Linked DNA regions of Notamacropus eugenii. The protein of the gene in region 3 purifies or fractionates together with the protein of the main gene of each other region. This does not show direct contact. Links are inferred from orthologs where the notes say so. Each region holds a gene or a part of one and is shown on either strand. Other genes may lie near its edges.

Region 1 (10,546 bases), about 67 Mb from region 3:
TCGGACACTCACCAAAGACCTGTGCCCGGGGAAAGGTTGGGAATTCCTCCAGGCGGCGGAAGAGGTTTCGGTGGGTGTAGGCCAGGTCCCCATGCAGGCGGCGGAAGTCGCTGTAGCGTTTCCAGATGACCACCTGGGCCCGAGCGGGACGCAAAGCCACCGTCTGGCTCCCTCCTTTTGCACTCAGGGAAACTGAGGCCCAGAGGGGACTGGACTGGATCCGGGCAGTTGGCCGTTCCACCCCCCGCCCCACCCTGGGCTGCCTGCAGGAGACAAGGGTACCCGCCCCCCACCCACCCCAACAGTCACCTCCTTGACATCCTCTTGGTTCGTCTTGGAGATGAACTGAGGAAGAAGAAAGCCAGGGCCAGTGAGGGGCTAACCCGCTTGGCCCCCCAGCCCTGCCCCAGGCTCAGCCCCCCAAGACCCCCCCACATCAGAGGACAAGGCCACCCTTGCCTCCACAATAACTGGGGAGAAGAGGCCATTTGGTGGGGGAGGGGAGTGGATCCTAGATGGAGGAAGACCTGAATTCTAATCCAGTCTGAGGTGCCAACTGGGTGACCCTGGGCAGATCATCTGACCTCCACTGCAAATGGGGATGACAGCATTCCTCCCCCCCAAATGGGAAAACGTGTAGGTCGCGGAGGGCCCCCAGACTCAGATCCTCTTGGGCAAGGGAGCAGCAGCCTCCCAGGGAGGGGGTGGGGCTCGGCGATCGCCCCCAGGGCACTGAGCGGGACAGGTGCGTGGGGCCCCGGGGGCCCTAGCACAGGAGGTTTTGGGGAGAAAACCCCCCAGCCGACGCCATTAATGACTTAGTGAGCGGAGGAGAAGCCGGCCAGGAAGCGGCGCTGCTCAAGTCCTACTAAGCGCCGGGGACGCTAAGCGGGGCTCGGACCTCCGGGGGTGCTTTCACCGCCTGCGACCTCGGCTGCCTCAGCCACCCTGGGAGGGGGTGCCCGCCTCACAGAGGAGGAAGCTGAGGCTTCCCCAACGCGCCCCGCCCTCCCCAGCCGCCCCCGGTGTGTTCCGGGCCGCAACGGGGGTCATTTCGCGAAGGGAGGCAGCAGCTCCCAGCTCTTTATTAACCTGTTTGCGCAAGGTGGAGGTAACCCCAGCCAAACAACTCTGCAGCTAGGCCCCGCCCATGCTGGCCCCGCCCATGCTGGCCCCGCCCCTTGCGTCTCCGTTAAAGGAACCCAGATTAGTCTTCCCTCCCTCCCCCGTAAATTAGTATAGTCCTAAATTCGCTCAGGGGCTCCACCCCTGCCTGACTCTCGAGGATGGAACGGTCCGGCCCCGCCTACTTAAAGGGGCTTCTTCTTCTTCTTCTTCTTCTTCTCCTCCTCCTCTTAAAGGGGCTTTGCGGTCACTCACCTGCGCCGTCACTTTGTACTCCGTGTAGCCCTTGGGATGGGTCCGCGTGTCCGACACTGTGTACAGCCGCCGGTAGTCGTCCTTAGCCTTGAGGGACATCCTCGAGGAGCCGGAGTCCGCAGGACTCCGGCGCCTCGGCCTGGCCACGGGCCTCCTCTTCCACGCTGTCCCCTCCCCTCCCCTCCCGTCCAGCCTCCGACGGGCACCGCCTCTTCTGCGCCTGCGCAAGGCTCTCCTTGGCCTCTCTTCCTGACTCCTATGCCCCTCCATGGTGCACGCAGGGACGGTCCTAAAACTCTTTGTTCTTTGGAAAGGCGTAGAATGAGCTACTCCGTAGGAAAGGCCGCCCCCTGGCGCCTGGGGAAGGCCATCGGTGCCCTGGACTCCAGGCAACAGGCATTCATTAAGCACCTACTGCATATCAGGCCCTGAGATAGACTTCAGGGAAAACCCAGCCCACTCCCACGTGGGGAAACTGAGGCCCCGGACGGCGGAAGACGTCAGGCTGGCACTGATGAGTCCCCTGGTGGGGCCGCTGAGGCCCTCACCCCCCTCCAAGCCCACTCCCCCAACACTTCAAGGGCCACTGAGAACCAGATCACTTTAGGCCACTGGTTTACTGCGAGCTGGGCCAAGGCCAGGGGCCTGGAGGGTGGCGGGGCAGGCCCAGCTTCTTCCAGGTCCTCATCCACACCAGACAGTTCTAGAGCTGCCTTCTGGACTTGGCCTTTCCTGCCCTCCCTCAACTGCTGGCAGAGTGGGCCACCCTTCTCTTTGGGAGCATGGGGAGGGAGTGTGGAAGCTCCCTTGACAGCAGAGGAGCCTGGGAGGAAGAAGAGCAGCCAGGAGCGAGGGGCACAGAGGACTTTATTCCCACAGCTGATCGGAGGAAGGGGCCCTCCCGGAGTCTCCCCCAATCCACAGACAGAGAGCTGCAGGAGGGACAGAAATAGGGAATGGGGGCCACTCCTCCCCAGGGAGGAAGGCTCTCCAACAGAGCAGCAGGGTCTCTCCTGTTAAATAGCACAAGCAGCATCTGGTTATGACAGGGAGGAGGCATTAGTTGGGGTCCCTTGGGCTTCCGTTCCTCCCCCCCCCAGTCCTGGCTCCCTGGGGGGCCCTGGATCAGAGAGAAGCAGGACAGAGGGATGGTTTGTGGGAGCTGGAGATGTGTGGAGGGGCTGCCCTTCAGCTGGGTCGAGGGGTCAGTCCAGGAACCGGTGACCCAGGGCAAGGAGGGGAGGGGTCATTCTGAAGTGAAGATTCGGCTGGAGATGTCATCCAGGAGCCAGTCAACCCCCAAAAGCAGGTTTTCCCCCGTCACTGCACTGCAGCCCTGGATGCACCAGTGGTGACTGCGGATGGCATTTAACTCCAGGATCTGAAGGAGGGAGAGTGACTCTCAGACAGCAGCCCTCCCAACCCTCCATCCCATCCAGCCACCTGGAGGCCTCAACTCACCTCTCGAATGTCATTAGATGAGAGAGCCCCAGGGAGGTCCTGCTTGTTGGCAAAGATCAGGAGAGTGGCTCCAGCCAGGCGCTAAGAGGGAAAGAAAGGTGGTGGTAGGGCCAGGAAGGAACCTGGGAGCTCTGAGCTAGCCAGCCTATGAGCCACTGTGAGCACCACTCCCAGGGCAGCATTAGGGAAAGGGACGTGAATGGGGTTGTGGGCGCTTGTCAGTGAGATACGATGACAAGAAAAGTCCACAGGAAACAGCTGCCTGGTCTTTGAGCAAAGAGCTGGACTGGGCATCTCGCCCAGTCTTGGGCTGCCTGGCATCCCAGTCCCCACCTACTTCTCCAGCTTTGTCATGTGACTCCCTGCACCCCCCCCCCCCCAATTCATTCTCTTCCATTTCTGGCCATCTGCCCTCCTCACTCCATAACCTCATCTTACAACGCTTACTTCCTGTTCTGCCTCTGCACTTGTCTTACCCTCCACTAGACCAGTCCTCTCTGAGGACTTTCTCATATCTTTGCTAATCTCTGCTGCCTAGCGCAGTATCTGGTAAACAGCAGGAAACGAATGTATGCTGATTCAAGTTAATGTGGACCTGTGATCTTTTTTTCAACCAAGCAAGCATTTATTAAGCCCCTACAATGAGCTAGGCATTCTGTCATGTGGTGGAGATCCAAAGACAGGAGCTCCTTCTTCCCTGTGCCTCAGTGTCCCTTTCTGGTAAGTGAGAAGGCAGGGCCTTCCTCCTCAGACTCCTCCCACTTGACAGCCCCCAGGCTGGCGCACCTCTTCCACGAGGAGGCTCTCCAGCTCCCGGCGGCAGTCCTCCATGCGCTGCTGGTCAGCACTGTCCACCACCCAGATGAGGCCGTCTGTGCTCTCAAAGTAGTTGCGCCAGTAGGAGCGGAGGGACTTCTGGCCTCCCACGTCCCAGATGTTCAGCTTGAACCTGAGGAGGAAGGGAGAGAGGGTGGATGGGCGCGGCCGGCCCGCGCTGTGCGCCCAGCTCCTGGGGAGGGGCGTCCCTCACCCTCGGTGCTCCAGGGTCTTGATGTTGAAGCCCAGGGTGGGCGAGATGGTGTCGATGTCCTCCCCGTTGAACTTCTTTAGGATGGTGGTCTTGCCTGCGTTGTCCAGACCGCTGGGGCGGCAGTTAAGGAGCCTCGGAGGCAGGACCTCCCAAGGGAGGGAAGTGACTTGCCCAAGGTCACCTCGATCCTTCCACAAACTAGGTGCGCACCTACTGTGTGCCTGGCACTAGGGGCACCAAGATGAACAGTAAGAAACCCGCTCGGGCCCTGCCCTCGAAGAACTAGCCTAGCACAAAGTGAAGCTCCCTATGAGAGGGAAGGCAACATGCATTCATGAGGCTCCTACTGTGTGCCTGGGACACACAAGGAGGCAACGAGCTGGACTTGTGCTCCGGGGACTCCCGAGATCCAGTCTGCTAGGGTCTAGCCCAAATCCCGGACCCTCCATCTCCCGCCTCCCCGCCAGTGCACGCGAGCTCCCTTCCATGCCCCCGGGGTAGTTGGCCCATTCCACTTTTCTAGCCGCACCCCCCTCTGCGTGGGGGCAGTCCCTACAGCCTGCACTCCCCCGTTTTTGTCCCGGATGGTACGGACCAACTCCCAACCCACCGCCTCCTAGGGCTATTGGTCGATCCCGGCTTACGTAACCCGCGCAGGGTAGTTGGTACGATCCTGCCCAGAGCGGCGCGTCCTCCCTCCCCCCACCCCGGGGGAGCGCGTGGTAGCGCCCGCCCGCGCCTTTCCCTGGCCCCCGGCCACCCAAGGGTTCGGGGAGCTCGAGGATACAGCATGAGGAGCCGCAACTCCCGCTCCTTCTGCTTCATCTTCTTCAGGATGGTCAGGAGCCCCATGGTCCCAGCCTCCCCTCCCCGCCGCTGCGCCTTCCTAGTCCGGGACCCCGCTCCCCCCTCTCATTGGCTAGAGCGCGCCTCACCGGAACCCGATTGGCTCGGCCCTTGTTTGAGCCCGCCCCTTCTCGCCGGAGCCGGCGGCAGGAGAAGGCACCGCCCTGCTGGGCGGGGGCGGGGCTACGGGGGCGGCTGGGCCCAAACTGGCCCGCCCCCGCCGCTTAACCCCTGGTGTGCCGGCCCGGGACGGGAGGGCGCCGCGAAGAGGTGCATCCCGATTCACATCGCACCCCTCTACTTGTGGAAGGGGGCTGGACACAGAGCTGGGTTCAAGGGCAGGCCCTCCCCTGAGCGGGGTCAGCCTAGTCCTCGAGGTCCGGCGGATGGGCTTCCCTCCCACCTCTACCCCTGGATCTTGGGAGAAGGAAATGAACAAAGACTTCACTTCCCATGAGGCGCCGGGAGAGTCTTTGGACTCCATTTCCCAGAAGGCCGTGTCGGGTCAAGCCCTCCTTATTTAGTGCCCGCGGTTTGCGGAGAACTAAAGCAGCGGGCATACCTAAGGCCCGGCAGGTGCCTGCCCTGGAGGCGCTTACCATCTGATGCGGAGACCACGTGCCCGCTGGTGCCTACAAAGCAGGCTGGAGGCAGGGTAGATGGGGAGGCGCTCACGGAGGGAGGCGCTGGGGAGGGTCCCCTGTAGAAAGTGGGGTTTCAGCTGGGGCTAGCAGGAAGTCGGGGGGCAGGGGTCGGCCGGGGAGGCTGCCCAGAGCCAGGAGAGGCCGGGGTCCCTGACTGCGGAGGGAGGAAGGTGTAGAGACAGAGGGGGGTAGCCCTCTGCACCCCGGGCCCCCCACTACCAGTGCTGGGCGGGACAGCCCCGCCCCCCGCGCAGCTGCCCCTGCATCCATTTGAAGACTCTCCTGCAGGGTTCCCCCAGCCCCCCTGCTTTGGGTCTGGTCTAGAGCCTGGGAGGGTTTTGGGCAGTAAAGGCCAGAGCTTGATAACCCTTTGTTATAACCTTTAGATTGTTATAGTTTGGATTAAGAAGAGCCTGGACCTAGTGGTCCTTTGTTTAACCTAGAGGACACCTTTTGGGGACCCCCTTACCAAACCCTGCTGGCATCTTAGCGATAAGGAAAAACCCAGATCTCTTGGGCTGTAACTTGGGCTCTGCCAGCTCCAAAGGCCTGTCCAGGTCAGGGTGTCTGTCCGCAGGGCGGTGGGACTTTCTCCTCCTCTGATGTCGGAGGCACGCTGCAGAAAGAACATGCCCACGGCTCGGGAGCTGCTCTGTCCATCCCCTTATCAGATGGACGACGTGTGCATCCAAGAGAGCGCCTTCCTCGTGGCAAAATGTACTTAAGACAGGCAGTTTCTGTGCTGGGTCAGTTCTGGTCCTGGCTCCATAGCGCCATGACCCTCATCTTTAAGAGAGGATGAATTAAATAATAACGCGTGCTTACTAGCCCGATGTCTTTTATTTAACGCAGTTTTCAGGTTAACAATGGTCAGTATACTCGATGTGCGTTGGCAGGAAGGAGGAGCAACGGAGGGTGATTCAAGGGCTTGATTTCCTTATTTACACTGATTTTTTAAAAGTCATCAAAGAGACTATTTTTGTGGCTGTTTTATTGTCTGACTAAAGAGTGTCAGGCTTGTGGGGGCTCAGATCCTGATTTGCATCATGCAGAGGAGCTCCAGTTTTCTCTCAGTGAAGGAAATTCTGATTTTTATAATAATCAATAGGATATGTGTAACGATTGTACTAATAAATTAGATTTTGCAGAATTGCCTTTTCCAGACTTACAGCGCAGCTTGAACTGATCAGTCAGACCTTGACAAGGTCCACAATCACTGGCCTCCTGCCTTCGAACCTGAAGTGCATCTTATCAAAACCTGTAGAAACTGTTCCTGTCACAGAACTCTGGTCCTGTGACCCACTAAGTAATGACCCACAAGGACCTGAGCAGTATTGCTTCCACAGGACTCCAGAATTGTTGTATTGTCTTTTGTTTGTGGGTTTGTCATGGGAAACCACTCCGACCCTGGGAACGGTTGTTTGTAATCCACCTTCCCTGTCCTTCCCTTCCCATTTGTGACTTATGTATATAATCTCTGTCCTCTCTTCAGTAAGGCAAAATTCTGATCAGAGGAATTCCCAATTTGCAAAGCTGCTCCTCATGATGAAACTAATTAAACTGATTGCTGGCACTTTGTCTCTGGCCCGCTAGACAGAAAAACTTGAATTAACCATGACCTCACATGGATGGTAGTCTCTGCATACAGACCGAACCCACTGGAACCTTCTTTTTCTTTTCTAATAGTTTGGTTTTTTCCCCCAGTTGTGTATGAAAAGAGTTTTTAACGTTCTTTTTTAAAATTGTGAGTTCTAAATTCTCTCCTTCCCATCTCACTTCCCCAAGAATTGTAAGTAATTTGATAAAGGTTATATGTGTGCAGTCATGTAAAACATTTTCATGTTTGGCATGTAAAAAAAAAAAGGCTAAACAGACACACAGACGCCGAAAAAAATACCGTGGTTCAATCTGCATTTAGATTGCATCAGTTCTTTCTCTGAAGGTAGATGGCATTTTTCATCACCAGTTTTGCTGAGAATAGCTCAGTCATTCACTGCTGTTGCGTATGACATTGTCCCAGTTCTGCTTACTTCACTTTGCATCAGTTAATTCAAGTTTCTCTCAAGGTTTCTCTCAAGCCATCCCCCTCATCATCTCTTATAGCATATTAGCATTCCATCACAATCATATACTGTAACTTCTTCAACCATTCCCCAATTGATGGGCATACCCTTTGACCCAGCAATAGCATTACTAGGTCTTTATCCCAAAGAGATTTTTTAAAAGGGGAAAGGACTTTTATGTACAAAAATATTTATACTAGTTTGCCAGGCCTAGAGGCCTAAGGGCTACCCGAGTCTTACCTTACCTATCGCAGGTCTTCGGCTGGCCAAACCGGATAAACGTATGAGAGAAGAGACTTTCCAGAGTCGAACAAGGGTTAGGCTTTATTCAGGGTCTTGGTTACATGTGCAGGGGGAATTCTTCCTGAGGAGAGAGGAATCCTCTTCCGAAGGAGGCAAAGATCTTACAGTAAGAGAATGGAAGCAGGAGTGGAAGAGGGAAGAGGGAAGAGGGGAGAGGGACCTTCTGTCCTCTAAGGACCCCTCAGCACTAAGAGCACCTTCAGGCTTTTCTGACCCTACTTAAGCTCTCCTGCCGCATAGTTTGCACCTGAGTACTGTGCCTGTTAGACAACAATAGGTGTGCTCAGACCATGGATTAATCTCGAGGGTGGGGATGCTCTTCTCCAGCAAGTTTCCTACGGGGAAGAGGCGGAAATGCACGAGATAGCCCGGGTTTCACACCTCAATTCCCAGCTGTTCCCTGGGGGGCCTCATGAGAACTCTAAGGTTTGGAAGTCCTCACCTTTACCTGCCCGAGACTGTCCACATGGAACTGAGCTTACACCCCCAACACTAGTTCTTTTGGTTGTGGCAAAGAATTGGAAACGGAGGGGATGTCCCAAAGTTTCCATATCCCCTCCAATATTTGTTATTTTCCTTTTCTGTCATACTCATCAATCTGATAGGTGCGTACCTCACAGTTGTTTCAATTAATGTTTCTCTAATCAATAGTATTTTAGAGGGTGGCAAAGTGAATACAGCACCACCCTCAGTCAGGCAGGACTGCTAACTTTGGAGACAGCAACTGAAACTCCATCTTTTACCGGAAGCCTTTCCCAACCCCTCTTAATTTCAATATCTTGCTTCTGTTTCTGATTTCCTTTTTATCCTGTCTGTAGCTTACTTAAATCAATTTATTTGCCTGTTGTGAGCTCCTGGAGGGCAGGGATTGTCTTTTTTTCCCTTTCTGTATGCCCAGCATATAGCACAGTGTCTGGTACCTAGTAGGTGCTTAATAAATGTTGATTGATTTCCATTTATGGATGAGGTCAGAAGCCAGACATGAGACTTAAGAAATGAGAGATAGAAGAAGAGGCACTTATTGTATGAGTTTAGTCACAAAAGGGAGGAGAGATCTGGAATATCTGGAACAATATCTGACTGGAACAGATGGATGGATCGAGAGAAGATGTTTTGAGGATGAGGGAGACAAGGCATGTTCGTAGGCGACAGGGAAGAGGCATACACAGAGTAATTGAAGATGGGTGAGAGAGTGAGACTTAATAGGGGTGGCAAACTTCTGGAGGATGGAATGGGATCCTGTGCATTTAGAGGGGTTTGCCTTTGCAGGAGAAGGGCCATGTCATTGGGTGCAACAGGGGTGAAGGAGCAAACTATGTAAGGTTCAGAATTCCCCAGACTGGGGAACCCTGGACCTTCCCCATAACCATGGGGTATTCTTGATATCAAAGGAAGAGGCCAAGAAGCTCCAGATTGATTATAGGCAGTAGTTCAATCTATCATTGTGACTACTTATAAAACAGGGGCAATCTTCAGTCTAAGGTGGTAGCCAGGCAGTTCAGTCGATGCCCACCAGAGAACCCCCAAAGTCCCCATGGTAATTATAGAAAATAGACAAAGGGAGGAGAAGCTACAGAGAGCATCACAACTGATGGGTTTTGGGTTTTTGCTTAGTAACGAGCTTGGGAGTTAAGCCAATGTCATGCCCAAGTATAAATGTTTGTGTATTGATCATGTACCAGTCACGTATGGGTCACGATATTCTTGTTACATAAGGCTTTCATAGGACGTAGTATTTTAAGTTGTGACTCAGTGTCTGAATTACAAATCAGTATCTAAATTATGATTTTAAACCAGTCGCCATTTTCGGGCTTTCCACCTTTTTGTGGCTTTTCATTTATTAATGTATTTTATGGCTTTTCCCCAGTCAGGACTCCACAATCCATGTCTGAAAAGCTGCCCATTCTTTCTGAATATCTTCCACAAGGTCCCTGGGCTGGCTCTATACTAGGGTGTTTATGGCCTTTTATGGTACAGCCAGGGTGGTCCCATTTGTAAGAATAAGCCGTACAAACAACATAAGCACAGATAGGAAAACAGCATGACCAATGAGAAGATGATCACCGTGGTTAACAATTTCACCTGGCGAGGTGAAGGAAGAACCAAAGGCGTTGGGGGATGAGTGGGAGAGCTGAATTTCTAAACTGAATGTAGTACAGGCTAACTGAGTTTCTGAACAAAGTTCAGAGACAAATAAACATGGCTTGGGCAATTTTATAGCATTTTGGGGGTGACAGAATAGAGTCAGTTACAAAAGGAGATAAGAACAATTTGATTTTCTCAATTTCCCCCTTTCTGTCAAGGGGAGACGTACAATGATGATCATCAAACCATCCCCAACATCCATTTAATTAGCAGATTTCATCTTGGAATCCAGATATCCCATGGAGTTGTCAGTTCTCTGGAGCAGCTTTTCTTGGGGCCATCTAGAAAATGTCTTGTCCTCAGGGGCATCTCTTCAGTATTATTTTTCTGGTTCCAAGTTACTTATAGAGACCCTTTAGATGTCCCTGCTAAAATCTTTTACAAAACAGATCTCAACACAAATGTAGTACAGCCTCTCCAATTTTCCTTCTCCAATAACCAGTTCATATTGTAAAAACCAGCTCAAACCTTAGAGTTCTTATCTTAGCAATAAAGCTGTAAGGGGGAACATCAAAGTAGAAACCCAGAGTTTGCTTGAAGCTTCAGAAATTTAGATTTTTACATGCCCCATATTTGATATACAGTAGTATCTGATCTTGTTACTTTCTCAAAAGTTTCTACTCTGATTCCAGTTCCTTTAGGAGATCAGGTGCTATTGAGGATTCATTTCTATA
Region 2 (10,523 bases), on a different chromosome or scaffold from region 3:
CTAGATTTGACAATGGAGAGGTTCAGGACAGGGGCTACAGCATGATTTCAATGGTAGAAAGAACTCCCCATGAAAAAAACTTCTCAAGTCTTGGAAAGTGGTCAAGGGCACTGAGGTTAAGTGAATTTCCAAGGGTCAAACAGCCAGTATGGGTCAGAGGCAGGATTTGAACCTATCCTCTATCCACTATGCAAAGCAGCCTCCTAAATAACAGAAAGTAATGTTACAATTTGGACTGATCTCAACTCAATCAATCAACAGACATTTAGTGAAAGTTGGCTCTATGTAATTAACATTATTACTATGTCAGAAGCACTATACTAGCTACTGGGGAAAGTAGTAGACAAAATAAAGACGTTTTCTGACCTCTTAAATAGTTAAGACAATATTTGAATGAACTGCAAAACAAAAAAATCCCTTTCTCCTCTAAGTACTATTCACTTATTACTTTTCACATGCATCTTTAGTGTACACAAATTACTTTTTTCCTATCATATTCAAGGGGTGTATTACAGATACCCATATATGACAGCACACCTAGTGGAAGGGCAACTAGGTAGTGAAGTGGATAGAGTGCTGGGCCTGGAGTCAGGGAGACATCTTCCTGAGTTCAAATCCAGCTTCAGATATTTGCTAGATACTGGGCAGGTAACTTAACCCTGTTTGCCTCAGTTTCTTCATCTGTAAAATGAGCTGGAGAAGGAAATGTCACACCATTCTGCTATTCTTGCCAAGAAAAACCAAAATGAGGTCACAAAGAGTTGGAAACAACAGAACAATTAACACATAGTGAAAAGAAAGAACTTAGAATCAGAAAAAGCTGAGTTCAAATCTACCTCAGACCCTTACTAGCCGTGCGACCATAGTAAAGTAACTTATCCTTTCTAAGTCTGTTTCCTCACCTGTAAAATGGGGATGATAATAACTATAGTTAGCACTTATCCTACGGGATTCAAATGAAATGTGTGTAAATCACTTTACAAACTTTAAAGAACAATAGACCTATCAGCTTATTTTCATATCTAACTGGTTTTGAAAAAAATCTCATATTAATAACGTAATTTCTTCATGTTAGGTATATAATAATTCAGATTCTTCCCCTTCTCTCTTTTAGTTTTGTTTACATAATTCTCATTTTATGTAACAGAGCTAAGATTTATACATATCATATTAACCAAAGCCTCTATTTTACAGAAATAAATGATTTCACGTAAAATACATAAATAACTGAAATTACAGCAAAATTACTAGAGCATTTAAAATGCTGGCACCCCAACCTGATTTTACACAAGACAATCCATTTCACATACATCTGATTCATCCACCCAGACTGCCCTACTATTCTGTTGACTTAGAAAAGGATTCAGGGTCACTACTAAAATGTAATTCCTAACTTTCTTCAGATTGGGTCCACAAATCCTCTTTGCCCAATGAAACAATTACAGTTCTACCCCAGTAATTTTCTGACTTACAGTTTAAAAAATATTTTCACTACGAAAGTGCCAATAAATCTTACAGACCTATTCAAGCAAAACTCCTCTGTAATATAGAATGTTATATTCTCACATCTTATACACTGCTTTTTAAAAATTATTTTCCATTTATTCCCATGTTTAGATTTTGTTATAACTGGACTATATAAAGTTCTCTAGGAGACAAAAACTATCTACTACTTACTTTGAATTATCCCTAAAACAGAATAACTGTGCAAACCACAGGATGCTGACTGCTTCACTACCCATTTTGGCTCTTTGGCCCATCTTTCCATTTCCCACATCCTTCCCTTTTACCTCCTCTCCCCACTTTTCAGCTTTTCCTTATACTTTGTCTTCCTCCCATTAGAATATAAGCTCCTTGAGGACAGGGGATAACTTTCTTTTCATTTATTATATTTGCATTTCCAGCTCTTAGCATGTCCTGGCATATATTAAGCACTTAATAAATGTTTGCTAAGTTGACACAACAACAGGCATTTAATAAATGCTTGCTGGAAAAAACATATGTGAAGTTTAAAAACCAAGGTCTGCTACATAAGAAGGCAAATCTCAGTAAACCAAGCTTACCTGAAATCAAATTTGAACATTCAATTATCAGGTCACCAGTAGTTTAGCCATACACCAAAGATTTGTTCATCAACTATACATACACGATCTCAGTTAACCCACTATGATAAATTACTAAGCCAATTTAAAAGCACGAATTCCATTTGGAGTTAGCCTAATTATCTCTTTTAAAAAAACTGCTCAGATATAAATCAAATCACTAATCAACTACATGCATAAAAGACTAGCATGCTAAGTTTCAGTTTTCTGGGAACTAGATTTATTTTGGTAGAGAAGCTCTGAAGATGGAAGTGACAAACAACACTTTTTTGATTATGTATTTTCCCAGTTATTGCAACTCAAAACATCATATACTTTCCTTACATTCAGAAGACAAAAAGTTTTATAGCAATTATAATGTCCAAGATTTTACTAAAGAGTATCATTTTTCCACTTAGGCGGTGAATTAACTGCTGCTTCTAACACTTAAAAGACTAAATCGTTTTACTTCAAAAATTGTTTTATTTGAAAATAATCCAAATCCTTAGACTCAAAGAATAAACCATTACCTATAAGATAGTTCTATTGTATCTGGACAGCTACATAAGAGCTCAACCTTCCTATCATTCACAACTAACAAGATTTGAAAGAATACTAAAAATACTGAAAACTGTTACACTTACTAGCCTGTGAAGTCAGAAGTAGCCTCAATGGGCAACCTGTAATAACTGAACTCTACGGAATCTACTTTAGATTTTTCTCAATTCTGAAATTGGGACTAAACGAGTGTCTTGAGAGAGTTACGCAGAATTTAAAGTTCAAAGGTTTTTTCCGGCTTCTCGACAGTAAACAAAGCAGACCTCACTGGAGGAGAAGTCTACGTGAAACTGGTGCTACCCTGAGAAGATCGCCTCCCCGATCGCCCGACGCTAGGCAGCGGGGACGCATTCCGACACAGCCGCCGATGGAAGGAATGTCGGGCAAGGGGAGGTCTTTTCAAAATAGAGCTGAGGTTTCTCAGCAGTTCAGACGGCGTAAACAAACCTTCCAGGCTGCAGCCGACGGTAAACAATGAACCTGCAGCGGGTGAGGGGGCGGGCTCTGCCAGCCACCCTCCCGGCGGCTGGACCAGACACCTCGCAGGCAGCAGCCGCACACAAACCTATCGATCCCTCGTTTCCCCCGAGGTGGTGAATAAAGAGCGATCCTGCGTGCTGCGGGGGGTGGGGAGGGGGAAGACGGCAGGATGTGGTCGATCTTCCCCGAGACATCCTCTCGCAACCTAAATAACAGCTTCTTCCCCCCCCTCCCCAGGCCGCCCCCAGGATTGAGGGGCGCAGAGCTGCGGGACAAAGTACATCCTTTCCCCCTTCCGAGTGCCCTGGAGCTGGTCTCCCCCGCTCGCTGCCGCCCACCCGGGGCAGGGGCAGGCGGGGAAGCCGGGACGAGGGAGAGAAGGGGGATGGTTCCCGCAGGGCAGTCCCAGGGCCCGCGGTTCGGACCCAGCACCTCGCCCCTCCCCCCCCCCCCCCCCCCGGGCCCAAGCCCAGGGGCCGCGCGGGCCCGCCCCAGCCGCCGCCCGCCGCTAGTTACCTCGGGTGAGATCCAGCGGGACGTTCTCCTCGCCGCTGTCATTCCGCCCTGCGCGAAACACAGAGAGACCCAGTTAGGACTCGCAGGCCGGCGGCGGCCCCGGCCACAGCCGGAGCCCCGGGCGCAGGCCCCACGCCCGCCCCGCGAGCCCGGGGGGTGGGAGGGGGGGAGGCGGCCCCGAGAGGGGGGGCGCCCGGAGCGGAGGGGAGAGGGCTAGCGGAGGGGTTACCTCGTATCCTGAGGTGCTTCAGCGAGCGGCCGCGGACACTCGCCGCCATGTTGACGGGCTTCAGTCACAACACCGGAAACCTCGCCCAATCGCGCGAGAGCCCCCTTCCCCTCTCCCCCGCCCTCCGCTTCCTTTCCTCCTCCCCTCCCCGCCCTGCGCTCGCCTGGCCTAGCCTCCGCATCCTCGCTCCTCCCCCTCTTCCCTTTCTTATCGCGAGCCAGGCCGGGGCGGGGGCGGGGCGCGGGGCCCAGAGCGGGAAGCCCGGGGCTGGCGGGCGCGCGTGCCTGCGGCGGAGGCGGCGAGGCTGGCCTTAGCAAGACGCCCCCCAGCCCCCTCCCCTGCAGACGAGCGCGTGGCCGCGGGGTGCCCCGCGAGGACCCCTCCCCCACCTCCGCTCCGAGTTCCGAAGGGGAATTCCCCCGGGAGGCTCGCGGGGTGGGCCCCGGCCGGCCGCTTCGTGGCGCGGGGCGAGGCCGCCCACCCGTGCCCGCGTGTTGTGCCTAAGCTGCCCCGTGCTTTGTATTTGTCCGCGAAGAATTTCCTCGCTTCCTTCACGCCACGCCCACCCTCCTGTAAAACACTCTCCTCCCCCCCCCCCTCGTTTTTTCCACTAACTTGAGATTCTGCCGAAGAAAATTGGCTTCATGGGGGGCGGGGGGGGCCTAGCGGAAAGCGGGGTTCACCTGCCGAGCTGGAGCCCCTCGTGTAGTGAGCGCAGTGAGACGTTGGGACGTGCGTGACCCTCGAGGGCAACCCCGCGTGGCACTGCGGAGGACCGGCGAAGACGAGGACTCCATTAGGTAACCTTCGTGCCCACGATGCCCTCCGCGGCTTGTTCGTCCCCTCTAAGTGGTGGACACGTAATTCGTGTTGTTTGCCCGGATCCCGTAACTTGGAGGCTTGTTGGCTAGATGTCATGCCGGGAAGAAGACTTTTAGCTGAGAATGTCAGGAATATAAAGCTTGTCCAGACTTTTTATGCAGCCGTGGAGAATTGGGAGAAAGAACTGCAGTTTTAGGTTGTTTTTTTTTTTTTTTAATTCTCTGGTCTTAATATTATTTCCCTTGAGATGAGCCTAATGTTGGCGATACCATAATGGCCAGCGTCCAAGGGGATGTAAGACTTAATATGGTGTATCGGAAAGGTGGACATCCAAAAACATCCCCTGCTTACAATGCTGTATCAGTTCCAGGATTTGCATAATAAGTATTTAATTTAATTAGTAGTAAGTATTCCTAGAACTCTACCTGCTGCAGTAGCAGAGGGAGGTAGAGGAGGGAGCTGGAAAGTCTGCCCATACTTCCCCTCCTCAGTCCTCGCAACTCTACTGAAATTAGATTGTGGTTACTTTGTATATATTTTCTGTTTACTCATGTATTAGGAGAATTGTACAATGAAGGCCTAGTCTTTAGAACGTAGGCTCTGCCTCTATGGAAGCTTAGTGAGCCGAAATCAATCGCTGAGCAGTTTAAAGTACCAGCTATGTGCCAGGCATGGTGCTAAGCCGGGGAGATACAAAGAAAGGCCCAAGACAGTTCCTTACTCTTGAGGTGCTCGCAGTATTATGGGGGAAGACAACATGCAAACAACCTCCCAAGTCATCTCTCTCTCCTCTCTCTCTCTCTCTCTCTCTCTCTCTCTCTCTCTCTCTCTCTCTCTCTCTCTCTCTCTCTCTGTGGATTTGTGTATGTATATATACAGAAATCAATTGGAAATAATTGGAATATAAATCATAAAATAATTGGATAATCAACAGAGATAAGTCACTGGAATTAAGAAGGATTGTGAAAGGCTTCCTGGGATTTTAACTGCGACTTGAAGGAAGGCAGGAGGCAGAGGTGAGGAGAGAGGGAATGCATAATAAAGGAACCTTTTTTCTCTCTGCTCACATCTGTACCCCATCTCCCCCATCCTCAAAAAACTGTCACTTGATGCATCCATCCTCACTAGCTATTATCCTGTGTCTCTCCTTTTTGTAGCTAAACTCCTTGAGTAGGCAAACTGTCTACTGCAGGTGACTCCCAGTCCTTTTTTCTTTTAACTCTTTGTAGTCTGGATTCTGACTTCACCATTCAAGTGAGAGTGCAGTTTTAGTTCATTCAACTGAAATTCCTGTCTCCAAAGTTACTAGTGATCTCTTAGTTGTCAAATGTAATGGCCTTTTTCTCAAACCTCATTCTTCTTGACCTCTCTGCAACCTTTGACACTGTCTCTCACCTTCCACTTAATGCTGTCTTCTTTCCAGGTTTTTGTGACACTGCTTTCTTCTGGTTCTCCTGCATATCTAAACCCTTTCTCTGCTTCCTTTGCTCCCTACCTGGAGCTCTCTCACTCCTCATTGCTGCCTTTTGGCGTTCCTAGTTCTTTCAAATCTGAGCTAAAGTCCCACCTTCTTAGAGGAGCTTTTCTCAATCCTTAATATTGAGTCTTTCCCTCTAAAAATTATCTCAATTTGTTTTGTATATCACTGGTTTGGACAGAGTTCTTAACACAATGTCTCATTGAAAGCAGGGACTATCTTTAACCTTTCTCTTTAACTTTACCCCCAGCACTTAGCCCAGTACCTTACACATAGTAGATACTTAATAAATGCTAGTTGAGTAATTGATTGGCTTTAGAGCAGTCCCTGATATTTTCTTTTTCCTGTCTTCTTATGCATGATGGTAAAAAGGCTTTAATTGGCTACTGAGCTGGAATTGAGAGTGCATATGAAAGCAAGGAACAGACCAGTTCTCACTCTCTTCCCAGGTGGCCACTGAGAAGCTGGAATTGCTGTGGGCTTCTGGTTAGGATAGCAGCCTCACTCCCTGATTTGGCTGTGAACACATGTTGCTGTTTCTTCTGTCTTAGCCATATTTCTTTTTTCCTAACTTTAGGTGACTGAATATCAAAGATAGAGTGGAAAAAGGTATGACCTTGTGAGCTTTTAAAATCAGAACCATCAAGTTGGTTACAGTCTTGCTGTTGGAGTACCTAATCTGTGAGGAGCCAACTCTGAAGAGGTACCAGCTTAACCCAATGAATTAATCAATCTGGCATGAGAGACACCACATCCTTCAAGCTAGGAAGCAAGTCATCCTTCTGCTACACCATACCTAGAAGTTGTTGTTGTTGTGTTTATAGTTTGTTCTTGAGGAGGACAGTGACATCAGGATGATGACATGACTTGTAGTTGACTTTGATTTGAGGGAGGGAGGGCTGTGCAAGGTCACCAACCTCACTTACTCACAACCTTACTTCTCCTGAGCCATCTGTGTCCAGTAAATTTGATGGAAGGAATATTTTGTAACAATCACTTTTAGGTTTAGAACTGGAGTAATAGTGAAGAGTGTACTCCCATTTTGGGTTGTGCTTAGGTCCTTGACCTATATTCTTTGAAAATATCCCTTGTAACACCAGTTAATGATAATGAGGGTGTTAATTAGCTACTGATATTGGATAAAACACACCAGATAGAGGTTCATAAGCAACAGTACTAGAGGAAGGCACTCAGCCCTCAGTGTTAGCTATGCAGCGGAGAAACTAATTGCCAAGGCCATGAGGGTTCAGAAACTGAGCCCAAAGACATAGGTTCATCTTTCATGTTCATCCTTGCCTTCTTTTTCCCCCTTCCCTCTTATTATAGAGTGTAAGTTTCTCAAGGACATGAACTGTAATTTTTTTTTTTTATTTTTGTTTCTCCAGTGTAAGTATAGGGCTTGGCAAGTAGTAAGAGGTTTAAATATATTATGCACACATATGTATATCCATACTGTGATGGGACAAGCATTTTTCTGAAGTAAATTCCTTTGACTCCAGTTTACCTGATGCAGCTTCCTTGCCTTCCACTCCCCTTCCCCTTATAGCCAACATAAGATAGAGCTAGGACCAAGCTAATTCTGGGGTCTAATATCTCTTCTCTTACCTCCCCTTCCATAATGCAGCTTTTTAAGGGCATAAAAACCCCTATCCTTACTGCATTTTCTTGCTATTTTAGGGCAAAGTAAACCTCTTGTTAAATGTCCAGTGACTTGTCCATGCTTCCTTTTATCAAACCTGGACTAAGAGTGGAGTGACTCATACATTTAATGTAGTTTTGGCAGATCAGGATTAGATGAAAAGGCTTCATGGCTCAAATAGTGTTTGAGTTGGGGGAAGAACCCTGAAATGTGGAGGAGGAGGGTCACGTGATCAGATGGCAGGACATTCCCTGACTCCCTCTTGACAGAGCTCTCCTGATTGTCTATGGAGAGTCCTCTCTGTGGGTAGAGGAATTAGATTATTGGATACTGGAGAAGGCTGCTGACAGGGTAAAGAAAATGTCAAGACCAGCACTCCCTGGATGTTGTTGACTGCTCTAAGTAAGTTGGATTGTGAGTGCAGTCAAATAGAGTAAAATGGCCTGGTACATTCAGCAGCAGCTAAAAACAGAACTCTCAGCTTTCAGGGACCATGCAATGAAAGTCAAGAGACAGCTAATACAACTAGTGACTGCACATGTGAAGAGATCTCTCTCAAGGGGTACTGAGGGTTTCCTGCAAAGAATCAACCCTATGATCTCTGATCTAAAGGTTCAGGTTCCTGCTGATTGGAGCCATGGGACTAGAGGAGAGCAGACTTGGGGCAGAGGCTGGGGCACTCCCACCCAGGGTAAGGAAGGTTCAGGCTTATCTTGTCACTACTCATAGGAGGGCAGGCAGGTAGTGCAGCTTATAGAGCACCAACCTTGGAGTCAGGTGGACCTGTATTCAAATTCTACCTCAGACACTTACTAGTTGTGTGATGACGCTGTTTGCCTCATTTTCTTCATTTGTAAAATTAGCTGGAGAAAAAAATGGCAAACCACTCCAGTAATTTTGCCAAGGAATACCCTAAATGGAATCACAAACATTTGGACACAACTGAAAGAATTTAACAACTCTTAGGAGGAGGATAGTGACTTCCTATCTTGAAGGCTCAGGAGATGGGTCCCTGTTCAGTGGGAGAGGGTTCAGTTGCTTTCTGGGGATTTTCAAACAGAAACTTGAGGAGTCCCTAGGTGTGTTCTAATGGAACCTACATCAAGAGCCTCTCTGCTGTGGACTTTCCATAGCCTCAGATAATTCTCTGAACTCTTATTTTAAAGCGTGAACTACATTTGCTTTTAAAAGAAATATATTGTTTCTTTTTAGATGGCTGATAAGATTATTCACACCTGGCCTTATAAAGATGGCAGCCAGCTCACAGTTGGGGATCTACAAGGGAGTTGGTGATATTCCTAAATGAAATGGATTTAATAAATTGGATTTATGCATTCCCCTAAGCCCAAGCGTTCTGTGTAGAGCTCTGCCCAAATAGTTTCTGACTTTAGCTAGGTTCTCCTCCACCACGCAACCATACAGGTGTGGGTTGATCAATTATTGAAATCTAAGCAGGAGCTCTGGATAGATGTGACTTGGGCAAATATTTTTGTCCATGCAAAAAGATACTCTAAGATTTGAGGGAGAAGTCTCAACCCAACACTGCCATGCTAGGTGGTCAGAGACCAATTCACCATTCTCAGGAGGGGCGTTTAGGTGTGGCTACTGAAACTTCAGGTTGATAAAGCAATTGATGACCAGGCCTTTGAGGCCCAGTAAATTTAAGTTCCAGGGCTCTAGAGGCCCTTTAGTCTTACCCAAGCCTGAGGTATTATCTAAGGCAGGGCTTCTTAAACTTTTTCCACTCACCACCCTTTTTTGCTGAGAAATTTTTGTGACCTGGGTATACAGATACATAAAATAGTTATACAAATCAAGCATTTACTGATCAGAAATCATAAAGAAATTTATTTTAAAACAATTCTTTGGTTTACATGTAATTTTACCATTTATTAAAGATGAAAGCAGATTTGCCTACTAAGGAGATGCATGTGCTTATTTAATTTTACATAAAAAATTAAATCTTAGTGGAGTATTTGATACTGAAGGACATGAAACATCTTCAGAATTTTTCAGAGTTGATTGATATTTTGATTTTATAATCATCAATTCTGAGCACACTGCTTTGCATAAATACATAGTACAAAATGGCAGAAGTATGGTTAGGGCCATTTCAGAAATTGTTGGAAAGTCTGTCCTACTCCCAAGCCAAAATTCATTTAAAGACTTTGTATGTACAGTAAAAACACTGTATTTCATAACATATAATAGTATCCAATATGAGTTAAGGTGTTTCTGATAGCATTCCTTGGCATTGCATGCACAATATAAAGTGCACATGTTGTGTGTCCAAAACCAAGGCTGTAGGGATGTTGCAAGATGCAACATGGGCAAGTGCTGCCAGAAACACCTTGGATTCATTATACGTTTGATTTTGAATTAATTTTTGGTCATTGCACATTCAGAAACCTTTTACTGTTGCCAAATTTTTTGTGACCTTCCACATTCAGTTATCCGACCCCGTATGGGACACCAACCCAAAGTTTAAAAATCATTTGGATCATTTAGGGAAAGCTACTGAGGACAGTCCATGGAAGAAAGGCTTATTATGACCTCAGTTTCTATGGGGATCCTTTCAATGACTTCTAGGCATGCGTTTTACTATGGATAAGGTCAAATGGAAACTCTTAAGAGTTGCTGGAATCATCCCACGTAGTTATGATATTTCTCCTTCAGTGATGAAGATGAAGAAGGCTGGAATACTTTTTTGTACTATATCCC
Region 3 (9,366 bases):
CATGTTTACAGCCAACTTGCGGAGATCAGCATTGAGCTGGCCAGGAAAGCGAAGGCAGGTGGTGACACCACTCATGGTAGCAGAGACTAGATGGTTAAGGTCACCATAGGTTGGTGTGGTCAGCTTGAGGGTTCGGAAGCAGATATCATAGAGTGCTTCATTATCAATGCAGTAGGTTTCATCTGTGTTTTCTACTAACTGGTGGACAGAGAGTGTGGCATTGTAGGGCTCAACTACGGTATCTGAGACTTTGGGTGATGGAACCACACTAAAGGTATTCATGATTCGGTCAGGGTACTCTTCTCGGATCTTGCTGATGAGTAGGGTGCCCATCCCTGAGCCTGTGCCTCCACCAAGTGAGTGGGTCAGCTGGAAGCCTTGCAGGCAATCGCAGCTCTCTGCCTCCTTTCGTACCACATCCAAGACTGAATCCACTAGCTCTGCCCCCTCGGTATAGTGGCCTTTGGCCCAATTGTTGCCTGCCCCGGATTGGCCTGGAATTGGGGGTGGGAAGCAGGGTAGATGAGGAAGGGATGCTGTGATATCCCACACTACCACCAACCCTTTCCCCTATCACCTAAGATTTTTTATCCACCTATACCTTAGAACAGAGGTGTCAGACATGCCCAGATTAAAATATAATTGAGAAATATTTAAATAAAAATTGAAATATAGTAACACAGATAACATTAATGTGTGCTTTTCTAACCAAATATGCAGCCAGCAAGGATCCTTAATTTAGTGGTCCCTCTTTCTAAGTTTGACATTACTGCCTTAGAGATCCTCTTAGCTAATGTTCAACCCCTCAATCATTCCCCTTATTTTGCCTCCATCCAGGTCACCCCTACTTTTCTAGAACTCTTCTGGCCACAACCTACATTGAACCTGTATCCCAGTTTTGAAGTTTCTAATTCCTTTCCCCCATCATTCTGCACTGATAAGATCCCCCTAAAGACTCCTCAATTATCTGAAAACACCAGTATGTTAATTTGCTTCTGTTTTAAATTTACTTCCACAAGATCCTAACCTATCCAGGGGATTCAAACCCCTTCTTAATGAAGAACCTTCAAATTCAAGAGTGATGATTATTTGGGAATTTACCTGGGGTAACTGCCAGTAATGAAATATTCTCTTCCCCACCCACTTTCCCAGTGGCAAAGCTACCACCTCTCTACCCTTTTTCATTACATTATTTAAGAAATTCACTTCAACTCACCAAAAACAAAGTTGTCTGGCCTGAATATCTGGCCAAAAGGTCCAGAACGAACAGAGTCCATGGTTCCAGGCTCAAGATCAACCAGTATGGCCCGGGGAACATATTTGCCACCTGTAGGAGAAAGTGCAGAGTAGGTGTAGGCTGGAGAAAGAAAGGGAGGGCTCCGGGGGTCCCTTAATACGTGGCCCTCCCGCTTCCATTCTAGTTTTTACCACCAGGTGGCAGTCGAGAACTAGTCTGCGATTACCCGTGGAAGAAAGGGGGGTGTGTGCGTAAAGGCGAAGAGGAAGATGACCAGAGCCTCTGGAAAGTGGAGAAAGAGTCTCCCAAGGGTAAATGGTTCCCCCCTATTTCAGAAGGCAGAATCGAGGGGAGAGTTCCCTTCCTGCCCCTCACCGGTGGCCTCATTGTAGTAGACAGAGATCCGGTCCAACTGCAGGTCGCTGTCCCCATGGTAGGTGCCAGTGGGATCGATGCCATGTTCATCACTTATCACCTCCCAGAACTAGGCAGACAGACGAGTAAAAAGTTGAGAAGAAAAATCGATTAAAAATTCTCCTCCCCCACTTTCATGATAGGCTCTCAATTCCAAAACTGCTCAATCCAGGAGTCATTTTTTTCCCCTAAAAAACCCAGGGGATTTCCTCCCCCTCCCTTCCTGGAACAGATGGGATGCACAGGAAGCTTGTTACAGGATTATCCTGCCCTATAAATGCACGAGATAATAGGACTGAAGGAGGCCGACTCATTCCAGGTAATCCAGGAGGACGGTTGAGGCCAGATGCCTGGGTCTCTGGCTAGGAAAGATAAAGGTCACTGTCGCCCTCCCCTTCTTCCCCCATCAGGCAACGCCCCTCCGATGCGCACAAAGAAAAAGGCACTGCAGCTGCTACCCACCCATCCCGCAGAACTCACTATAGAGCGAGGCTGTGGGAGGTGCGAGAAAGGAAAGGGGGAAAATGATGGACAATGGGAGCCAAGGGTGGGGCTCCTTTCCTCTATCCAGCATGGCCCTGGAGCGCAAGGGAGTTCTTGCCCCGCCCCAACCGGGCTCCGCCCTTTTGCCACAACGTTGCAAACTCTCCTTCCCACTTCCTTTCAACCCCCATCCGTTACACAGTATCTTCGAACTGGGGGGCAGGGAGAAGGATCACTTTTACCCTAAAATGTTGTTTCTTTGCTACAGTTTCCATTTTTTTTCTCATTATGTATTGGATTCGCTTTCCTTGTCACCCATTTTTTAACTCTTTGTCCTTGTGGAACTATCCACAAGGAACACTAGACAACGCGCGGGAACTCGCACCCTACCCCACCCCACCCCCGCTCCCGCCCTTAAAGGGAGGGCTTTCAGAAAGGGAAGGGGGAAAAGTCCCCTCACCCTTCCACCTCACAAAGGAGAACGAGAGAAATTAGGAAAATTCCACGTTTCATATATTTTTTGGGGGGGAGGGTGGACTACGAGTCCCCCCCAAACCCCACCTTCCTATTTCATCCCCTTTTTCTCCAGCTCAGTGCACAATGCAGCTCCTCACCTTTCCCTTAGGATTCGGGCAAGAGTCACAGTTTTGGGCGGGGAGAGACAGAGAGAGGCAGAGATGCACATGGGACAGCACTGGCCTCGCTTTGTCTCGCGCGTTTCCGTTCATCCATCTCCGACACAAAAGTCTCTTAGAGATCCCTTTTACACCTTCCCTCAACCCCAGCCCCAAAACCACAAGGGGAAAGAGACACACCTTCCAGTTAATCCATTAAAATCTTAAATAATTTTATTGGTCCCTTCTTAACGGATAGAAAGGACCAGGTTGCGACACGCCAACAAAACTAAACCAGGTAAGAGAATAAGGGGAGAAAAGCTACAGATTTCTCTAATGAAAATTCCCGCCGCAAAGAAATGCTTAGATTATTTATTTGTTGGGTCGTGCTGCTTTGGGCAGGGAGCGGGAGCTAGCGACAGTCCCGCCACTACTTTTTTTTTTTAGGAAATCTTTTAAATTTTCTTTCCTTTAAAAAAAAAAATCAATGGAGGTGAAAAGAATATGTAAAATCAAAATCCTTACCTTTGCACCGATCTGATTGCCACACTGGCCAGCCTGGATATGTACGATTTCCCTCATGGTTGGAATTTACTTTTGCTTTGTCTCAAGTTATGTGCAGGGAGGAGAGAATGATATATAAATATATATATTTTCTCCTTTCCGCTGAACAAGCTCTTTTTCAATAGAAGGTTCCCCGGAAGGTTGGAGCTGCTAGTTCAGAACACAGCTACACAAGCGTTCTGAGAGGGAGAAAGAAGGAAGGGGGGAGGGGAAGCGAGGGAGGAGAAGCAGGGCGGGTCGCGCTTGCGCTGCGTGGCCTGAGGGGAGGGAACCATGAAGAGGTAGGCGCCAGCTATATCGTGGACAAAGCCTGTCTAAAGAAGAACTGATTGGTCCATACCAGGCAAGTGTCTGGTACCCATTGGCCGCTCCTCCGGGGATCAAGCGCTATCTTCACCGGGAAATGTAGTTCTCTATTGTTGTCCACGCTGCAAAATGAAGAAGGGAGGAGTGGGGTGGGTGTGGGATATTTTTTTTATGAATAAAAAAAAAATTAGGCATGGCATTCCACTGTTTTGAGGTCTTTTTTTTTTTTTCAATTAGACATTAGAGGAGACTAGGATTTAGGTCTGTAGTAAGTGGAAAGTCTAGGGAAGCGAGGTAGTGATGTGATTTCAGGATTGGTATGTCCTGGGACTTCCTGCTGCAGCATTCCTACCACTGGCCTGCTAAATTCAAAGAAATGTAGGGAGAACCAAGTATGAGCTTGGGATAGACAGTTACAGGACTCACTGATCTTTCCAGGACTCAGGTGTCTAGCCTCTGATACCCCGAAGTTCCAGTTCTTTCTTGCGATCTTCAACCCCATCCTTATTTGCCTCACTGATCTACATCACCCACACATCTCAGCAATCCACCTCTTTTTCCTCTCAGGGGATAGTCACAATGGATGGAGTAGTGGTTTTTGCTCAGTGGGTGATTTCCTTGGGCGTTTTTGGATAAGGGTATTTTAAATACCCAAAGAGAAAATTACGCTAGAGACATTTCAGGACACAGATGCATCTGTCAAAAAAAAAAATGACTGGAAGGGACATGTATAATGAATTTGTGAAAGAAAACCTGACTCTTGGGAAGTCAGATACCTGGGTCCCTGAGGTGTATTCCTATGAATAGAACTGCGGTAATTGATCCAGGGAAGTCTAAGCTGAGATAAGGAGAGAAAATGGCTGAGGGGTTCAATAACTCATACATTTTCATGGCACTTTTATCTTGCCTCCCCAAATGTAGGACCCTTAAAAAGTATCAATGAATTTATAGGAGGTAGCTGTTTCCACACCCCATTCAAATCAATGTCCCTAGTATGGTGGATGTCATAGCAACATGGTCACCATGGTAACCCTTCCTAGGCACCTGAGCTGGAGATGAGGACCATTAGAAGGAAGAAAGATTGGGCTTGGGGACAGAGGGAGAAGAAATGAGTTTAGTTCAAATTCAGACATTTCTCATAGGGTCACTTTTCCATGGAACATAGAGGCATGGAGAGATATAATACTGTTTTAGAGTGATGTTATAAAATAACTAGGATTTATAAAATACTACAGGGTTTTCATAGCAATATATGTATAATATATACATATATGTCATCCCATTTGATTCTCACAGCAACCTTGTGTGGTAGGTGCTATATTTATTCTCATTTTACAGATAGTAGAAGTTAAAATGACTTAGGGTTCAAATTCAGATCTTCCTACCTCTGAGTCCAGCACTCTATCCGTTATCCATAGTCCTAGTAGGAGAAAGTTATATCATGTTATCAGTGGTGAGATTTGTCCAAGGAGCAAGTGATGTAATCATTTCCTTATTGAAAATTAGGTGAACTGGGACTTCTGGTTACATATAGGACTGCTTCATATAATATTCTATATAATATATACATACATATATAATATATTATTACATATGATGTATAATACTATATATAGTATTCACATAATATTTTATTTTTGAATAATAACACAAAGAACAGTAAGTCATATATATACATATGTGTGTATGCATGTATTTACATATACATATATTATTTTGAAGGTAGGTATTTCAGGTTTTATGCCCATTTAGAGAACTGGGATTGGACCTGTGGTTTCTTTTGTACAGTGAATTTCTTCCACTAGTAAAAATCTATACTTCTCTGCAACTTGTAGTTTTAAGAGAATTACCTAGGGCACTGAGAAGTTGTCAGGCCTGCACAACCAGCCCTGGGAGCTAACGACCCTCAGACTGATTATAGCATGCCAAAGGATTTGGGGGAAAGGGGGGGGGGGAACCTACAAAAAAATGTACAGGAAAACATCCTTTGTATGTAGAAGAAATCCTTGCCACAAGTTGTTCAGGCCTGAGTTAAGTGGCTTTATAATAGTCTGTAAGATCTGCATTCCCTATTCTATTTTAAAAGATGTTTTATTATGTTTTGTTTTTTTACACTTTATCACTTCCCAATAATCCTTCTTAGTATAATATTCCATTACATTTGTATGCCACAATTTGTTCAGCAACTCTCCAGTCAATAAATTACTTTTAAAATTACAAGCATTTTTTTCTGTTGTTTCTATTCCCACTGAATAGGGAATATTCTGAAAAAAGAAAAAAATATTCTGAAAAAAAGAAAAAAAATCCTTGTAACAAATATGAATAGTAAAATAAATTCCTACATTGGCAATGTTTTAATATGTATGTCTTATTCTGCATATTTGGTCCATTCCGAGTAACATTCTTCACCAACAGTCTTTTAGAATCATAATTGGTCATTGTGTTGGTCAGAATTCTTATGTATTTCCAATGTGTTTATTTTTACACTGTTGTTATGGTACAAATTGTTCTTCTTGTTCATTTAAGATCAGCTGATAAAAGTCTCCAGAACTGTCCATTTTATCATTTCTTACAGCAGAATAGTATTCCATTATATTTGCATACCAAAATTAGTTTAGCCATTCCCCTAGTAGATAGTTCCCCCTTACTTTCCAATTTTTTGTTACCTCAGAAAGATCTGTTACAAATGTTTTTCCCATTAACCCATTTTCATATGGGTTCTTTCCCTCTCTCTTCATAGTAAGTTGTATGGCTGGGTCAAATCATGTGCACAATTTAGTAACTTTTGGGGGGCATACTTCCAAATTGCTTTTCAGAGTGGCTGGACCAATTAAAAAACTCCACAAACAATGCATATATCTGTTTTCCCTGAGCTCCTACAACATTTACCGTTTTCCTTTTTTGTCACCTTTGATGATCTGATGATTTGGAACATTTTTAAAATATGGCTATTGATAACTTGTATTTTTTCCTGTGAGACTTCCTTGTTCATATCCTTTGTCATTTGGGGAATGACTAATTCTTCCAATCAATTTCTTATATATCCAGAAAATGAGACAATTATTAGAGAAACTTACTGCAAAACTTAACTATCTCTCTGTTAAGCTTAGCTACATTGATTGTGTTTGTGCAAAACTTTTAATTTTACATAGTCAAAATTGTCCATTTTATCTTATGTAATCCTTTGGTCACAGACTTTTCCCCTATCCAGATAAGAAAGGTAATTTCTTCCTTTCTCCTTCATTTTATTTATGTGACCTTTTAAATCTAAGTCATATAACCATTCGGATCTTATCTTGGTAAATAATGTGAGGTGTTGGTCTAAATCAGACTACTTTCCAGTTTTACTAGCAGTTTTTGTCAAACAGTGAATCTCTTCCTCAATAGTTGGGGTCATTTGACGTAATCACCCTGGTGAAGTCCTTCCTCACTTCAGATCTAGACTATTTCTATAGCCTGCTGGTTGGTCTCCCTGCCTTTCCCCACTCCACTCCATCCTTCATTCAGCAGTCAAATTGATATTCCTAAAGGGCAGATTTGACCATTTCATCTCCCTATTCAATAAACTCCACTGGCTCCCTAATACCCAAGATCAGATATAAAATCTGTTTGGCTTTTAAAGCCCTTTGTAATTTGGTTTTTTCTACCTTTCTTGTTTTCTCACGCCTTATTCCTCTACACATACTTGGCAGTCCTGTGACATTGGCCTCCTTGCTGTTGTTCCGAGACAATCCATCTCCTGACTCTAGGCATTTTCATTGCCTGTTTCCCAAGCCTAGAATGCTCTCCCTCCTTACAGCCACCTCATAGTTTCCGTAGCTTCTTTCAAATTTCAGTTAAAATCCCACCTTCTGCAATAACTCTTTCCCAAACCTCCATTCTCTTTGTGCCTTCCCTTTAAGGTTATGCCCAATTTATCATATATATATATATATATATCATTATATATTATTATATTATAGTATAGTATACATTATAGTATATATTTAATAATATATTATATTATATATTATAATATATTATATATATATCATGTTTATACACAATTATTTGCATGTTATTTCCTTCCCCCCCCCACCATTAATATGTGAGCTTCTTGAGAGCAGGGCCCAGTTTTGTTTGTCTGTGGACTTTTTTGGATCCCTAGGGCTTAGCACAATTCCTGACATATAATAGACACATAATTAACAAATACTAGTTGATGGGAAAAAAAAAACTTTATAGCAAGTTTCTTTGATAAAGGCCTCACTTCTCAAATATGTAATGAACTAAATCAAATTTATATATTAAAAAAGAGCTATTCCCTAACTGATATGGTCAAAGAATATGAACAGGCAGTTTTCAGAAGAAGAAATCAAAGCTATCAATAGTCACATTAAAAATTCTCTAAAGCCTTATTGATTAGAGAAATGCATATTAAAACAACTCTGAGATACCACCTCATACCTGTCAGATTGGCTAACATGACAAAAAGAAAAATGACAAATGCTAAAGGGGATGTGGAAAAAAATGGGACTATTGATGATACTGTTGATGAACAATAATGAATTGTTGATGGTATTGAAAACTAGTCCAACCATTCTGGAAAACAATTTGGAACTACATCCAAAGTTCTATAAAAGTGTGTGTACCCTTTGACCCACCAATACCACTACTAGATCTATATTGGAAAGACATGAAAGGGAAAGGGACCTGTTTGTATATAAATATTTGTAGGAGCTCTTTTTGTGGTGGCAAAGGTAACCGAAAATTACCACACCAGTAAGTTGTGGTATATGATTGTAATGGACTAATATTGTGCAATGAGAAATCTTGAAGGGGATGGTTTCACAAAAACGTGGAAGACTTATATGAACTGATACAAAATGAAGTGAGCAGAACTAGGAGAGCATAATACACAGTAACAGTAATATTGTAAGGATGAGCAATTGTGAAAGACAGCTATTCTGATCAAGACAATGAGCCAAGACAATTCCAAAGGACCCAGATGAAAAAATGCTATCCATCTCCAGAGAGAGAGAACTAATTACCTCTGAATGCATATTGAAGCATCCTTTAAAAAAAAAGACTTTATTTTTAATGTTTTGCTTTCTTTTGTAACATGGCTATTATGGAAATATCAAATTGCTTGCCTTCTAAAGAATGGGGGAGGGGTGGGAGGAAGGGAAGGAATTTAGAAGTCAAAATTTTTTTAAATGACTGTTAAAAAAATTTTTTTACATATAATTGGGAAATATTTAACAAAACACAAATAATTGTTAAAAATAAACAAATGCCAGTTGACTGATGAGTTTATGGAACATTAAGGCTACTATATTGTTTGCTTTTGTATGTTGTTTACCTAATCTGTTTCATGTTTTTTTACTTTTTTTTTGGAAGGGGGAAGGCAAGGCAATTGGGGTTAAGTGACTTGCCCAAGGTCACAGGGTAAGGGCATGAGGTCGAATTTGAACTCAGTCCTCCTGACTCCAGGTTCGGTACTCTTCATAGCGATATTCACCTAGCTACCCTTTTCTGTTTTATCTTTTAACCAGTACTAAGTCAACTTGATGATGATTATTTTTGTAATAAAGCTTGAGATCTGGTACCCCTCCCTTCTCACTTTTTCCTTATTTCCCTCAAGATTCTTAAACCTTTCTCTAGATGAATTTTCTCATTTTTTTCCATCTCTAATTATTTGGTAGCTTGATTAACATGGAACTGAATAAATAAATTTAGATCACTGTTATTTTTATAATATTGGCTTTG

The links.
Region 1: the proteins of TUBB (region 3) and ARL2 purify together in Homo sapiens (co-immunoprecipitation; 3 studies listed by BioGRID and IntAct, counting the BioPlex papers as one, with this or other methods). This does not show direct contact. The link is inferred for Notamacropus eugenii from reciprocal best matches to the Homo sapiens genes TUBB and ARL2.
Region 2: the proteins of TUBB (region 3) and RICTOR purify together in Homo sapiens (affinity purification with mass spectrometry; 3 studies listed by BioGRID and IntAct, with this or other methods). This does not show direct contact. The link is inferred for Notamacropus eugenii from reciprocal best matches to the Homo sapiens genes TUBB and RICTOR.

What each region holds. Positions count from the first base shown.
Region 1 is NC_092873.1:17,759,626-17,770,171, reverse strand, and holds ARL2 (ADP-ribosylation factor-like protein 2), read right to left. Parts: upstream 4,755-10,546; 5' UTR 4,724-4,754; coding exon 4,659-4,723; intron 3,983-4,658; coding exon 3,872-3,982; intron 3,791-3,871; coding exon 3,628-3,790; intron 2,923-3,627; coding exon 2,842-2,922; intron 2,762-2,841; coding exon 2,627-2,761; 3' UTR 2,231-2,626; downstream 1-2,230. Other genes in the region: SNX15 (sorting nexin-15), read right to left, coding at 13-133, 310-345, 1,381-1,650. UniProt on the Homo sapiens protein: Small GTP-binding protein which cycles between an inactive GDP-bound and an active GTP-bound form, and the rate of cycling is regulated by guanine nucleotide exchange factors (GEF) and GTPase-activating proteins (GAP).
Region 2 is NC_092875.1:421,422,176-421,432,698, reverse strand, and holds the start of RICTOR (rapamycin-insensitive companion of mTOR), read right to left. Parts: upstream 4,206-10,523; 5' UTR 3,914-4,205; coding exon 3,865-3,913; intron 3,684-3,864; coding exon 3,636-3,683; intron 3,541-3,635; exon of another isoform or gene 1-3,540. UniProt on the Homo sapiens protein: Component of the mechanistic target of rapamycin complex 2 (mTORC2), which transduces signals from growth factors to pathways involved in proliferation, cytoskeletal organization, lipogenesis and anabolic output.
Region 3 is NC_092873.1:84,574,261-84,583,626, reverse strand, and holds the start of TUBB (tubulin beta chain), read right to left. Parts: upstream 3,749-9,366; 5' UTR 3,331-3,748; coding exon 3,274-3,330; intron 1,722-3,273; coding exon 1,613-1,721; intron 1,328-1,612; coding exon 1,217-1,327; intron 495-1,216; coding exon 1-494. UniProt on the Homo sapiens protein: Tubulin is the major constituent of microtubules, a cylinder consisting of laterally associated linear protofilaments composed of alpha- and beta-tubulin heterodimers.